2 linked regions of the Oreochromis niloticus genome follow. The protein of the gene in region 1 interacts with the protein of each later gene in a pairwise test. Links are inferred from orthologs where the notes say so. Each region holds a gene or a part of one and is shown in the gene's direction. Other genes may lie near its edges.

Region 1 (7,878 bases):
GTTGACGTCCAGCTTGGACAGGTCCTGCATTTGCGTCATTCCCTGTCCGTGACTGAAGCGGGCTGCCTCCATCATCATATTCCTGTGGGGATGGACAGAATTCATCACAAAGTGCACCCACGTAACCATAGACAAAGTCAAAACGCCCACTGCACCCATCTTCGAGGCCTACCGGTTCTCTCCAGAGGCAGGTTGCTTTCTCATGTGGTCAATCACGTGCATCTGCTGTTGATTTGGAGCAAACATCTGGAAGCGGGCGCCGTTACGGCTCAGGTGGTACATGGTGCTGAAGACGAGAGGGGTGCATTACCATCTGCCCGTGTTAATTCAGTCATGTGCATTTCCTGACCTCAGCAGGAGTGATACTCACTAAACCCCTTCATGGACATCAGTGCCGTCCCACCATCCGCATCCTGAGAAAACCTGAAACACATGGAGTCACCAAATCACAACTACACCCACACCCGTTGATCTGCTCCTTTCTCCCAGACTGATCTGCATCACTTACCACTGCAACGTTAGTATTTCCCCAGTTGCCGTAGTCACCCTGGTGCACAAAGCAGGCAGGCTGGCGAGAAAGAACAGCCAGCGTTTGTTTTGACAGCAAAGCCCTGGTTGCCAGCATGATTTAGCTTCAATCTCACTGTTGTAGAAGAAAATTTTAAAAAATAAAAGACTTCACAGTTTTACCACAGAGCCACGTAGAGACTTTTAATGGTCGTGGTGTTGATGTCAACGAGGTTGTCCGTATATATACCTGCAGAGTGGGGCTAAGTGACGTTACCACGTAAGCTCTGTCTTCTGAGAAGAGCCGTCTCTTGTTCGCCTTGACTGACTTACTCTCCTCCTCATGAACACTCTTTCCTATTAATACCTTGTTTATTTATCTGATTAAGTCATTTGGCCACAGAGTGACACTTCAGCTTTGAAGAGCAATGTAAACATGTAGTGCTTCAACCCAAACAGTATCTTGACCTTTTAATAGTTTAACTCTTGGCAACAGATGCAGACAAGCGAACTTGAAGAACAGCTAACATATACTTTTGCAAAACAGTCACAGTGTCTTTTATATAAGGCAACAATCGATGTGATGCCTGAGTGAGCCTTTTTTCCCCGCTTTCTATAGTTACTCCTTTGTCCCAATTCAATTACAGGGATTGTTTAAATCTTGTGCGTTTAGCTAGTTCAAAGTAATCTAAGGTAATCTGATTTATGAAGTGTGGCAGAACTTGACAGTCTGTAATTTAGCCTCATGATATATGTTATTCTACGCTAGCTCATTATTTAAAGTCTGTATATTGACCACATTATGCATCCGGGAAAAGCCTTGCAGTCTTTGCCAGTAAGACTCTTTTTTTTTTTTTAGCAGCAAAAAGGTCCTGGGTTCAAGTCCCCCAGTCAGATGGGGCTTTTTCTATGGGGTTTCTCTGTTCTTGGTAGGGTGAGAGGTGATTCAGAATTGCTCATTTGTGTGAATGTGACTGTGATTGGCTTTCTGCCTCTCTGTGCTAGCCCTACAACAGACTTGCGACCTGTCTTGGACGTACCCAGTCTCTCTCTCTCCTAGGCTCCAGCCTCACTGCGACCCTCAAATGGATAAGAAAACGGATGGATCGAGCATTTAAACTGCTTCATACTTCTGAACTCTTCACAGTAAAAGGCGTACCATACGCCCACTAAAGTCCATTAGACCTTAAGACTCTTACTCTCTTTAATGCCATGTTGTGTCTACAGTCTCTAGACTACGAGACCAGAAATACCCCAGGCAGACGTAAATGTTAAAGTCACAACACTGTTAGATCAACGCAGATCCTTCGGGCTGCATTTGCTGAAATCACAATAAATCAATGTTAATTCACAGATGACGAGCGAGAGGCAAAAGTATGAGGTTTCCTTTATTATGATCACTTCTTTTTTAAATGTATAAATGATCATTATTTACAAATTGAGGAGGGAAGGGGGGTTATAGTGACAGTTTGAGGGACAAATGCAGAAAATTATGGAATCAACAGAACAATACACAATCAACTAGAATCACAACATCAGTCACAAGTCCAAGCCTCTGCCTGTGTGAGATGTTCTCGTTTAGATGGTGACTCAAAGTTTAAAGTCTTCACACAAATGAACTCATGCACTGGAAATGCATACTGAAACGGTCACATGTGGGAATCACAAAGTGCAAGTAATTTTTTTTTTTTCAAAAGCAAACACGAGAAATATAATGAACAACTTCTGATGCGGTGAGGTGTTTTTTAAACTAAATGTCACCCTTACTGTGAAATAATACAAACATGTTTCTCACTTTCTCTCGATTGCTACACACACACACACACTTTCTCACACATGCGCGCGCGGACACACACACACACCATGATTCGTTTTAAAACACCAAAGACCTGGCTCACAATTTCTGACAGTTTTCTTATTTCAAGTACAGAAGTGAACAAAGATTTAACTAGTGAAAAGATGAACAAAGCAAAAACTACAAAAAGACAGCACAGACAATAAATAAGGTCCAATCTGATATCTTATATAAAATAAAGATGTTTAAAGAATCTTGTCAGTGTATTTCTGCATCTGTAAGGTGTCGGTAAAATAAAATTCACACAAATGGCAAGCACGTCAAACTAAAACCATAAAGCAAACAAAGCTCCACTCACGTCCGATCGAGAGCAAAACAACCGCCGATAGCGCTCATTCAACTAAATCCTACTAAAACGATCCAGCTCTGGTTGTTCCATCAATTAATTGTCATGAGCCGTGTTGAGCACTTCCAGCAAGTTTAGTTTTCTTTACATGTAAGGACCAAATCCCTAAAAGCCATTTACATGCAATTCACTAACAACTCCAGTGGTGAAAGTAAGAATTAGCTTCTAAATTTCTGTCACCACTAAAGAAAGCTTTCATGCACCCAAGCACCGTCATTCAAGGAACCTGCGCACTGACACGCTGTGTTCACTGAGTATTTTTGCAAAGATATCCATTTGATAAAGAGCTGGGCTTTGCCCATCAAGCTAAGTAGCTGTGCTGAGAGAGAAAGGTGTTACAAAGGCGAGTCTGGTGGCATTAGGGTGTGTATGCGGGTGGCGGTTGAAATTGATTGGCAATGTCATAATCGGCAGGAAATGTTTCACTGCTGTCCTCCATCTCCGAGAGCAGCTCTAAAGCCTGCTCTTCCTCCTCAGTTGGGTAGTGACGAAGAAGATTTGCAGCTGTGGCGAGGATGGATGCTCCACCCGCGCCCGCCACCAGGTAGAAGCTGATAGCAAAAGTGACGTATATGAGAGAGCCGTGGTACTTTTTGTGCTGCTGCTGTAGGGACAAGATCAGCTCTGAGGCCCAGTAGCAAAAACCTATGACTGTGGCACACTGCAGCACTGGTGGGAGACAGAAAGAGACAGTTACAGATCATTGAATTTACACATTGTCTGTCTTTTTCTAGACAGCAAGAGGGGAAAAAAGATTATTACCTGTGAGAATATGTGCAAATGCATATCTGCGGGTTATTTTCAGGGCAGGGTGCTTGGGACCAAACACATCCAAGAGAAAAGCAGTCAGACTACAGAGGATTCCCAGGAAACAAAAGGCAGCGATTACTCTCAGCAGCAAGATGGTCTGCGGGTTCACGCAGTAATCTGATGGGAACAGACGGACACATCACAGAGCATTACACGTGAGATCTGGGATTAATTGCTGCTGTGGGTTTTTAACGGAGCTTGTGTGTGGGCCTCACCATCCAGAAGCTTGGGGTCAATGTATCCCAGGACATCTGACACCCCCAGCTCTTGTCTCGGACAGGTTCCTCCGTGGACGCGGAGCCAAGCCGGCTCAGCCAGAGCTGTACACAGCGCTGTGATGGACAGAGCTCCGGGAAGAGCCGACACAAGGCTCCGCTCCGGCTGCTTGGGCAACGAGGTGCCTCTCCTCCTTCGGCCTCCAGGGACAGTAGAACCCGGCGGGGCATACATCCTAATCCGATTTCCTCGTCCTCTGTTGTATAGTGTTGCTTTCCCTTTATTGTCAGTGTACCTGACAGCACTGCGGTAGTAACGAGCAAGTCAGCCAAAAAACCGACAGCCGGTAAAGCTAATTCTGGACTGATGACAGCGACCCGGCTCCTTTGTTCACTCTGGTTTCAAATGTTTCCAAATTAAAACAGACCATAAAACTAGCTGTTTAATCAAAAGCAATTCAGGTGTCTGACTGACGGCAACACAATGGACAGATGGTTCAGGCCTGCTAGCTCTGTTGTTAGCCTGAAAAGCTAACTTCTCGTAAACGCAAAATGTCGTCAAGTTTTTCTTTTTTTTACAAAAAATAACTATAACAGCGACCGACACGACAGTCATACGTCTATAAAGTAATCTAGCTAACAATACTAATAAAAATAACGATAGATTTGGTACACAAAAAACAAAGACAAAACAAAAGGAAGCGTCCGCTGGCTTCCTCGAAAACACTTGACTTCCTTGTTCATACCATTCTTCTTCTTCGCGGACTCGATAGCTGTAAAAGTCAGTACTCCCACCTACTGGCGACTCCTCCTATGGCAGAAAGTCATCATACAATAACATAAAATTCTCTTCTTTATTTTATTAAACTCACTCATTGTACATTAACAAAATAAAGGTGCTCGCGTGAATACTTCATAGGAAATCATAAAAAGAGATGACCAAAAATTTATAGCACAATTAAAAGAAACAAGACTGACCAAAGTGCTTTACAAGTTAGTTAAGAACAAACAAGATAAAACCTTAGATCAATAAAATACAATAAAACACGACATAAAATAAAACACCGTAAATTTCACGGAATTGTTTTTTACGTGAAATTTCCCGAGGGGAAAAAAAAAGACCACGAAACTGCAACCCACAATGCAGCGCGGGGACTAGATAAGTAAAGATGGCGGCATTTTGCTCACCGGTGATGTTGTGAACTTCTGCACTTTGTTGTTTGGTGCTAGTTACAGACTGTGTTCAGCGCAGATACGGCCATTTTTGTATCCGTGCCCTGGTTGTTGACTGTGGTTTAGGGCTGTAGTGCTGCTGCTGCTCTCTGTCTGCTTTTGGTGCTTCGGGCCATTTCCTGTCTCGTTTCTCGGCTAACTGTCAGTGACAGCGACTCGGAAGTATTTTCCCAGCTCGACCATGAAGGAGGCTCTGTCCCTGGTTCAGAGGTTGAGCGCACACCCGGACTCCCGCTGCTGGTTCGTCAGCTGGAGCCCCAACGGGACGCTGCTGGCCTCATGTGGGGGCGACAAGACCATCCGGATATGGGGGAAAGAAGGTGAGCTCTCCATGAACTGAACCGCAGACACCCCCAGCCTCAGTCGCATAACAAAGCATTATAGTACAGTAGTTGACATCCTTCACCCCTTTACCTTGCTCTCGTTTTTCAGGTGACTCCTGGATATGTAAGAACGTGCTGCAGGATGGACACCAGCGCACCGTGAGGAAAGTGGCTTGGTCTCCCTGTGGGAATTATCTGGCCTCTGCAAGCTTTGATGCTACCACTTGCATCTGGAAAAAAAAGAACGATGACTTTGAGGTCAGATGACAGGTCTCCTGTTCATTGTGTTAAATGGCATGCCTTAGAAATGCTGCATCTTTGCAGATTGTTACCCACACTTTGTCTCCTAGAGTTTGACTGTGCTGGAAGGACACGAAAACGAGGTCAAGTGTGTGGCGTGGGCCCCTTCAGGGAATCTTCTAGCCACATGTAGCCGAGACAAGAGCGTCTGGGTTTGGGAAGGTTTGTATTAAAGAGCGCCTAAATTGCACTAACTGATCTGCGCCACTGTCTGTTTATATACTTGACCTTGTCTCTTTCTGCTCTGCAGTGGATGAAGAAGACGAGTATGAATGTGTTACAGTTGTGAACTCTCACACGCAAGACGTCAAGCACGTTGTCTGGCACCCGACCCAGGAGGTAGGTCTCATTTGGATCTGTCCACATGATTGTTTTTTCATCTCCAGTTGCAACACCACGTGACCCTGCACTCACCATGTGTTTGTACAGCTCCTGGCCTCAGCCAGCTATGACAACAACATTTGTCTTTACAAAGAAGAGGATGATGACTGGGAGTGCCGGGCCACCTTACAGGGACACACGTCCACAGTGTGGAGTTTGTGTTTTGATGCGGCTGGTCAGAGGCTGGCCTCCTGCAGCGATGACCGCACTGTGAAGATCTGGAGAGAGTATCCAGCTGAAAGTGGACCGGGTGAGTCAGCAATGGTTAGGACTAATTAGTTTTATCATAAATCAATGCTGTAATAAAAATATTGACAATATGTATTTTTTTTTTTCTGCTTTTCTGTTTAAGATCTGTCATGGAAGTGTGTTTGCACTCTGTCTGGGTACCATGGACGAACGGTGTATGATGTTTCCTGGTAAGACTATTTTTGTAATGTACTCTGCCATTCTTGTAAAATGCTTCAGTCAATCATTAAAGGTGCAATTAGTCATTGTTTGAAGTCATTTAATAGAAAAAAAGACCATTGTGCACATAAACATACATCTATTAGTGTGTAATTACATCTTATGCATTCTCATAAACTTAGATTTAATCCATTAAAAATACATAAGTGTGGAAGCCACCACGTTGCCTCGCCATCTTGAATGGAGTAACCGAGATGAGGATTGCAGTTCAGCCTAATCATGTTTTATGTATGTAGGAAGAGACTTGCCAGATATATAGTATGCTAAAGGACGGGGGATTCATGTGGTGTGGAGGCAATTTGTGTTTTCACCTTCAGACTAAAGATATGAAAGATTATTCATATGTTTTACCATCTGAGAAGGGTTCACCAAGGAAGTGAAAACATAAAGGAAAGAAACAGCGTGACCCGTAACTGAATAAAAATGTCATCCTCTTCCTCACCTCAGGGCTCTAACACACAAAAACATGCATGAAAATGCTAATTTATTCCTGATATTGTTGCAGTTACTTATTGTCGGCAGATTAGACATGCGATCCTCTAATACCAGCTAATGTTAGGCTCGAGGGTCCTAAAAGTGACACTTTCCCGCTGTTACAGTGTTTCATTAGATTCTCAAAGTTTATTGGCAAAAAAAAGATTCACAAATGCCGACCCCAGCAGATCGCTCAACAACTCACCTCAGTATCACCGTAATAGGATAAAAAATGAGCTTCAGTGACCTGTATTGGACCCCTGTAAGTTTTGCAGCCTCCTCCAAAGTAAATAGACCTGCACGTCTCACCTGACATATCAGCAGCTTACACTAGCTACAGATTAATGGCAGTTTTTGAGGTGAAAACTGTAACTAGGATTATTAGAAAAAAGAATTCAGCTGAATTTGTTCTTAGATTTACTGACATCTAGTCGTTTTTACACACTGCACCTCTAAGATCGTCTAGCGATAGCAGTGGTTAAGCGTTCCACAACTTGTAATTTCTCTGTAACAATGCAGTAGATAAGATAACCTTTATTAGTCCCACACGTGGGAAATTTGTGAGGAATATGTGGTGCTCTATGCAGAGAATTATGTGAGAACATAAAGTGGAGGTTAACTGACCACCAGAAATCCCAAAGATGTGGTCTCCACGTGCATGAATTTGTCATTGTTAGACGTCACAGTGAACCTAAATCTTTCTTCAGGTGTCAGCTGACTGGCGCTTTGGCAACTGCCTGTGGTGATGACGCAGTGCGAGTTTTCAAGGAGGATGAGACAGCCAATCCCGACGAGCCAGTATTCTCGCTGGCTGCTCAAGTGGCCAGAGCTCACAACCAAGATGTTAACTGCGTGTCCTGGAACCCAAAGGAGGCGGGACTCCTGGCTTCGTGCAGCGATAACGGAGAAATCGCCATTTGGAGGTTCCAAGAAGAGGAATGAACATCACTGGAGTGCATAGTTACG
Region 2 (7,679 bases), on another chromosome or scaffold:
ATAAGAGATGACAAGTGAGCCTGCCAAAGTATAAACCTGTTTCATCTTCCTATGTTTTTACACCTCTCTCACTTCCTCTGTAAGACTCCATGTGTCCCTGAAACCTGTGCTGCTCCCCTCCTGCAAAAAAAATGACGAAATTATTAAGTAACTGATCCAAAGGAGGAGCCATATCATACTATAGAGTCCCACCAAACCTGCGCTTAAAGAGCTGAGCTTACATCAGCTTAAACAGCCCATGAAAGACATTTACTGTATGCGGTGCTGTTTTGTCGCTGGATGATATTAAATGAGACACACAAAACGCTGAAGCCGCTGTTAAAAATTGTGAGCTAGTTTAATTTACACCTTCAATAAATGTTCTGCCACATGCTTTTTATAAATAGTTGTTCAAATGATAGTCTCTTTGGCTGGTTCCTTCACCTAATTCCCCCGAGGGCGAGGTAAAAGCAGAAAAGAAATTCTTCCTGACTCTTCGAAATTGCTTTCCAAAGTAAGTCATCTTCTGCTGTCACTTTGTGACTGTTGCAGTCACTCTGAATATGCACATTAATGTGAAACAATGAGCAAACTCCTGAAAAGGAAAATGTGAACATTTCTAAAAGGCTGCAATTATAAAACACATAGTTATTAACTTTTCAACTGGAACAATACATCATTCTAAAAGACTGAACAATAATTTGTCAGAACTGTAATAATGTGATACTTTCCTCTTTAAGAGGAAAATGCGACCTGAAACTTAAAAAGAAGCATGATCTCTCATCCATTCTCATCTCACAGTATGGTTATAAACCATGAGTTAGATAAATAATTTAAAACTAAAAGATCTTCATTTTGCAATTTCATGTTTAATTCAGTGAATAACAAAACATAGGTTTAGCATGAGTGAACACATAATATAAAAGCCTATGTTCAAACTTCATTGTTCACTCTGTTTGTAGCTTTTGTAAAGAGAAAAAAAAGTCTAGTTTCTATAGTTTGTATTTCTCCTCCAAAAGTTTACCTTTGACCTTGTATATTTAATTCAGTATTTCATAAATGATGAAAGGCATCTCATTTTCTGACAAGACACAGAAACTCTCTGTGAGACTGCAAAGTTTGCCTCAATATGTATAATATATTTTATGTGCTCCAGTGGCCAAAACCCATAGTACAAAAGGTCATGGCTTTCTGGGCTTAATTACAACTTGAATGATCAGAATTTACACAATATTGGTCAACTTTTTTTTAAATGAAGGTTCACAAATATGGCAGCAGTGTGTCAAGTTAAACCTAAAATGTACAGGTGGAAATCACTAACCCGGTAAGAAAAAATTAGCTTTTATGCTGATGTGGCAGAGATTTTTAAAGCATTTAAATGATACAGTTTCACTGATGTCTTTTACTTTATAAACTTAAACCATGATCCTAATAATTTGCAAGTAAAGGTGACTGCATGCAAGACAAGACTTGTTCTCCTGGAAGTATATTTGTTTTATTTTGCTTTTATTTCTGTTACAAAAATGAATAAATAAAATGATAAAATCTCTCAAAATTTTCCAGGATTTGTATTCCCACACTGGTGACCATTTGCGTAGCTGCCTGGATATGCAGAGAGAGGGATATGAGGGATTCAACCTCCAAAAGGCCATCAGTGCAATGCCCTCCACAGGTCAAATAATGACTTGTTGCAAAGTTGACTCGAACAGAAAAGAGAGCAAGAGCAAAGCTCACCATTAACAGGGAGAAGTGTGAAAAACATCAAAGATCAAGAAAAAAAAAAAACAGGAGAAGCACAGAGAGTAGCTGCACTGGACAGTTTCCTTTCGTGTTTGATAATCAGTTTCCCTTCACTACAAAAGTTCTTTGCATGTTATGATTTCTTTCTCCTCAGCTGCAGGGGCAAAGCTACAGAACTAACAAGTAGCCGAATCATGAAAAATAGCAGTCGACATTACTGGTTATTCAACCTATTTTTGCCTGGCCTGAGGTGACAGTAGACAGCTATTATACACAGACATGGGTCTACAAAGCTCTGCCTGGCACCTATGGACTACCATCACACTAACATGCAGGGTCCTTTAGTGACTGTCTGCTTCTTGCTACTGTTCTTACATCACATAGCAAGAGTGAAATTTACACTCCTAATGTCAAGCACTGACCTGCGTTCTGGTGTGACTGCTGTCCATCAAGTGGATAAATCACATTTACATTGTCTTTAGTCTTTATTTTAATGCCATGAGCTATGTTGTATTAGACAAATGGTCTCAAGACTGAAACTATGAGTTTCAGTAAAGTTACAGAACAGGGTCACTTAGTAGTGATTTCCATAGTCAATAATAATGTTCCAAACTTCCTCTAGCATTAACATCAGCACAAAAAACTGTGCACAGGGGGCTTCATGGCATGGGTTTCTACAGCCAAGCAGTCCCCGTAGGTGTCATTTTTGGCTCAGTACTTTTGTCCATATAATGCCCACTTTCTCACTCTAATAGGAATCTCAGTGCATAGTTTTGGGCAGTCCTCAGAAAAAATGAGTTACCGTAATTTAAAAGTTGACTTGAGAGGGAAGTTCAAGCCTTCTATGCTTTTCCATTTCTCTGCACCTAATTTTTGCACTGCATATTTCAAAAAGCTACAAATACAGTCAAACCTAAAGACCTCTTTGCAATAAAAATTGCTCTATAGTCCTCATAATCCATTTTTTGGGAATACATTGTGACATTAAGGAAAATAATCTACCCATATGTCTGCATATTGCTAACATTTGCTGCTATTTTTATGGCAAGCTGTGAACTGGTTGTCTGCAGCTTTGTTGTCTCATTATGCACATCAGGTGTGCTGCTCCAGGCTCAACACCACCAGTGGTTCTCTATAAATATGGAATCCCACCATGCTCTGAACACAAAGACCAAATGAGGAATAATCACATAATGCACACAGTGCATGGCAGCAGCAAGCTGCTCTCCACAGGTAGCTCCATTTTATTATCAGTACTGTTGAGAATTTTAAAAAAGACTTCTTTAAATTCAGAAGCTTAAGAAACCCATGTCTGACAAACAGTGTTCATTTTTCACAAATGTTTTGACTTCAGAACGGGATATTATTTCCTTCACATTCACAATGTCAGACCATGAAAAACTCACCTCTCTGGACTCTCTACATTATGCAGCAGCAAACTCTTACTTCTCATTCTGATAGTGCACTGCATTAATGCGAGACATAAAACTTTCCTGTTTGTGCCTCATTTATCTACATGCTTCTAAACTTTTCATCCCCAAATGCTCAAGGTTTTCTAATCAGGTGTTCTGATTAGACATTAAACTTGTGAGATATTTAAGACTGGTAATGTTGATATGATTTTAATTTAGTAGCTCATTAAGATTTTGCCTTTTATAATGAAAATTTTCAGTCTTTTTCATGTAGTTGCAAGACACTGAGGTTTTGGAGTCATCTGTGCTGATAATGTAATTCTTGCATAAATTGGGCTTAGAAAAAATGTTCACTGCTGGTCATATCTAATTTCACAGAAACAACTATTTATAAATAGCATTTTACCACCTGAAACCAGAATTGTGAATCTAAAGGTTGTTAGTCCATATTGTCACAGTTAGGAAAATATTTTCGCCCTTTTCAACTGTCGCTGCCCTTATCCATGACATTTTTATTAAAACATGTGTCAGCGGCCGTGTGCAGTCTCATTATATGCACATTTTTTTCAAAAGGTGAACATATCAGGCTGAAGTAAAACTTCACATCAACCACGCTCCACATTTCCAGTGACTGCAGCAGTTCATTAAGATTCTGACTTGATAGAAGTAGTTGATGGTGATGGCAGTTGTGTAGTACAGAAATGAAAACCATATAATAATTTAATTTTATAAATAAAGTGCTTCCATAACCAGTTTGTTTTAATTTTTTCAAAGATAATCATTGCAATGAGTTTGTAGGGGCTTAACATCAAAATGGTGAAATTACTGTGTTTAATTGAGTTGTAGATACCAGTTTAGCTTTGAATACAGATACATAATCTCATTATCATGCTCGAGCTTTGCTAACAGAGAGGAAATTCTAGGAAACTAAAGTGAGGACTCATAGCTAGCCCACCAATCTAAATTACCACTGGTGGCTTGTCATAAATTTATCAGGATACACTTTTTACTCTGCATAGATGAAAAAGCAGAATCTCTCTTCTTCCCGATAATAGGTCAAATGTGTTTGAAAGAACATGCAAATTAGATCTGATTCAGGTGTGCACAAAATAAAAGAACTGTGAGAAAAAGAAATATGTTTTTGTTTAAAAAAACAACAACACACAAACTAAAATAAATTTTAAAAAAAATAACGTAATAACGTTACATGTAAAAAGTCATGTGAAATTAAGATTATTGTGGTCAGTATATTGTTATTGCAACAACACTTCTATTAAAGCGTATTTTGTGCGTAAGGTTGTTGGTGTCAAGTGCTAAAATGGGCGGTATCTGCCATCTGCCGGACAACCAGGGAGACAAATGCCAGTAAAAAAAATTATATGTACAGTCAAAGCCTTCAAAATGGGAAGCCTGGGAAAATTTGAACATAACAAGAGAATAAGCAAAGACTATGAAAGGAAATTTAAATGGCATTTTTTTTTTAAAACAAACAAACATCTGTATAGCTTACTCCGTCTCACGTCCGAAAAGGCACTCAGTTAACTGAATACGTATCTTACTGAAAGAATGCGTATTTAGCAGGAAAGAATTTGCGGGTACTGTTCCTTTAAGACTGTAGAACGTTTATGTTTTGGACTCTGCGGCTTTCCGTTATTCCAGGAAGTACTTCATGAGGGCGCTAGTTGTACAGCTCGTTTGCAGCGGCAAGCTCTGACAAAATACGAGGTTTTTACTGTTTAACGTGGACTAAAATAAGCGCTGAACATGTCCGAGGGGACCCGCTTGGAGAATGCAAACCCTGTGATTTTTCAGCGGTCGGGGGAGAGAGTACAGACGGCATCCGAAGAGGATGAAGACGTCCACGACCCCATCGACGACAGAGAAATATTCGATATCCTGTTTAAATGTTTTACTGTGGTTTAGAGTGGATTTACACCTTAGAGATATGCCCTTTATCCTTTTTTCTAATGATGTTTATGTATTATATTATTTGCCTGACTTAAACGCTAATACCAGTGCCATTCAGCTAGATAATGAGGTGAAATCGAGGGAGTTAACAGCAGTTTAAGAAGTAGCCCGATTGTATCTGGGTTTGCCGACAGGTAATAATAGTCAGTTTCTTAGTATTGAAAACTTAACTAAACATTTTGAAGTCAACTGTGTTTTAATAGGTTAGTTGACCATGGTAGATTAAACTTATAAATACCGTTAATGGTTTGGGTTACGCAATTCGTATTCTCAGGGATTGTCTCATTTTTGTAAATATATTTTATTATATAATTTGAACAATTTGACAGTTTGTAATTGAGTTATTGTTAAGCTGATGTTAGTATTAGTTGAATGATTTCTTGGACCTATGTACAGTGGCTATGCAAACAGCTTAAAGTCAAAGGATCAGACAGTTTATTTTATTACAAAATCGCACCTCTTTAAACAGGTTCACTTGTGGTTCATAGACTATGCTTCAATCTTTTGTACAATGAGTTTTAAGCCATTAGCTACCAGTTTGGGTTCAGGAGACACACACCATTACTACTTATGATCAGACTTCAGACTTAAGTTTTTGATGAAGCTTCTGGGCATTATACAACTTATTTTCACCCCTAATGTGTTTACATGCCAGTGATGCATCTTATTAACATTTGTTTTCTCTTCTTGTCCTTTCTTTCCCCTCCTCCCAACTGGTTATGGCCAATGGTAGTACTTTGATGAGCCTGATTCTGCTGGAGGTCTCTCCCTGTTACAAGGGAGCTCTTCTGTTCCACTTTTACCAAACACTTGCTTCACAGGCGATATCATTCTTGGCGTTTCTCTCTAATATTGTTGGATCTTTACTTTAATATCATTAGTACAGTGATTACAGTAGTGCAGAAAAAGAAATATTTATTATTTGTATTATACCGTCTTGAATTCTTTAACTAAAGTTACATCTGATCAGATCTATCAATGACCCAGAGCATCCACTGTCACTGGAAGAGCTCAATGTTGTGGAGCAAGTTCGAGTTAAGGTGTGTGGTTTTTTTTTTTTGGTTTTTTTTTTTTTGCTTCCTATTTTATACATTTTTCCTATGTTTGTAATAGTGTGAATAAGGAAATAAAAAGATGCTCTGCAACACACTTGCAGATACTTTAGTAAAGAAAATGGTTGAAGACAGTTGAATCCAACAACAAGCATTTCATTCAAAAGTATTTACAGTGAATTTCATTGTTAAAAATGAATGCAGTATGCTGTTAGGAAGATAAATTGATGAATGATGTTTATTATTTGTGTATGCTCCCTCAGGTTAATGATGCAGAGAATACTGTGGGTGTTGAGTTCACACCTACCATCCCTCACTGCAGCATGGCAACACTCATTGGTCTGTCAATCAAAGTCAAACTTCTGCGCTCCCTGCCAGACAGGTTCAAAGTATGTTTATGCATGTTTTTTCACATGACATGCACATTTAACCTTAAGCATATTTTACAGTGTCAAATTTTTCTGTGCTTTAATCTTTTGTTATTTTCAGTTGTGGCCTACATTACAGTATATTTTTTTCTATTTCCTCTCAGATTGATGTTTGTATCACTCCTGGGACTCATGCTTCAGAGGAAGCAGGTAAAACTCCATAGAGAGAAAGGAGGCGAGATGGAATTTTAGACCATTTTTACCAGTATAATCTAATGCATTTTTTATCATACTGTTTATGTCATTTTGTGTACAGTGAACAAACAGCTGGCAGACAAAGAGAGAGTGGCAGCAGCTCTGGAGAATGCATCTCTACTGGAGGTGGTCAACCAGTGTCTGTCCACCAGGAGCATCTGAACAGCCAGCCAACTTTAGCCTTGTCAGCTTTTAGACTCAGATTTTTGCAGGAGGACATGTTTGGTTTCTTTGAAAACTTGCTTTGTATCTACCAACTATCTGCACACCCCTACCCCTGGTATGAGTAGCGTGATCAGGATCATACAGGTTCTGTACATTGGCAACATTTACTGAATAAGAGTACAGAGAAAGCCAATTCTTAAATTCCCAAAGAATAATATAATCTGAGTGTAAGCTCATAACACAGTCTCGTTTGGACAAAGAAATTATTCTTCCACCTGGAAATTTTAACAGTGTGAAAATGCAGAGAAACTCTACCTGTTACATTTGTCATATACACTCACTGGCCACTTTGTCGGGTGTATCTGTTCAACTGCTCATTCATTTAATTATTAATCAGCCACTCATATGTGAAGAACTAAATGCATTTCAACATATATACATGAGAAAGGTCATCCGCTGAAGTTTCAGTGTAATTTAAGTGATTTTGAATGTGGCAAAGGTGTTGGTGCTAGACTGGCTGGCCTGAGCATGTTATAAAATGCTTATCTAGTGGGGTTTCCCCACTCTCCATCCACTTGTGGGGTTTACAGAGAATGGTCTAAATAAAAAGAGAAAATATCCAGTGAGAGGCAGGTTTTTGGGTGAAAATACCTTGTTGAAGAAAATGGCCAGACTTGAAGGCCACAATGGCTCAAATGACTACTCCTTATAAAACCAAACTATGCTGAAAAGCATCTCAA

The links.
Region 2: the proteins of ciao1 (region 1) and ciao2b interact in binary tests that used the Homo sapiens proteins (3 or more experiments, as listed by UniProt). The two-hybrid records come from large-scale screens. The link is inferred for Oreochromis niloticus from reciprocal best matches to the Homo sapiens genes CIAO1 and CIAO2B.

What each region holds. Positions count from the first base shown.
Region 1 is NC_031977.2:12,291,506-12,299,383, reverse strand, and holds the start of ciao1 (putative cytosolic iron-sulfur protein assembly protein ciao1), read left to right. Parts: upstream 1-4,866; 5' UTR 4,867-5,147; coding exon 5,148-5,286; intron 5,287-5,398; coding exon 5,399-5,547; intron 5,548-5,639; coding exon 5,640-5,751; intron 5,752-5,839; coding exon 5,840-5,928; intron 5,929-6,018; coding exon 6,019-6,220; intron 6,221-6,322; coding exon 6,323-6,389; intron 6,390-7,619; coding exon 7,620-7,854; 3' UTR 7,855-7,878. Other genes in the region: gatd3l (ES1 protein, mitochondrial), read right to left, coding at 1-82, 173-286, 371-423, 509-625; tmem127 (transmembrane protein 127), read right to left, coding at 3,067-3,377, 3,471-3,635, 3,734-3,968. UniProt on the Homo sapiens protein: Key component of the cytosolic iron-sulfur protein assembly (CIA) complex, a multiprotein complex that mediates the incorporation of iron-sulfur cluster into extramitochondrial Fe/S proteins.
Region 2 is NC_031978.2:7,117,063-7,124,741, reverse strand, and holds the start of ciao2b (cytosolic iron-sulfur assembly component 2B), read left to right. Parts: upstream 1-4,659; 5' UTR 4,660-4,895; coding exon 4,896-5,022; intron 5,023-6,059; coding exon 6,060-6,139; intron 6,140-6,414; coding exon 6,415-6,540; intron 6,541-6,683; coding exon 6,684-6,729; intron 6,730-6,835; coding exon 6,836-6,936; 3' UTR 6,937-7,679.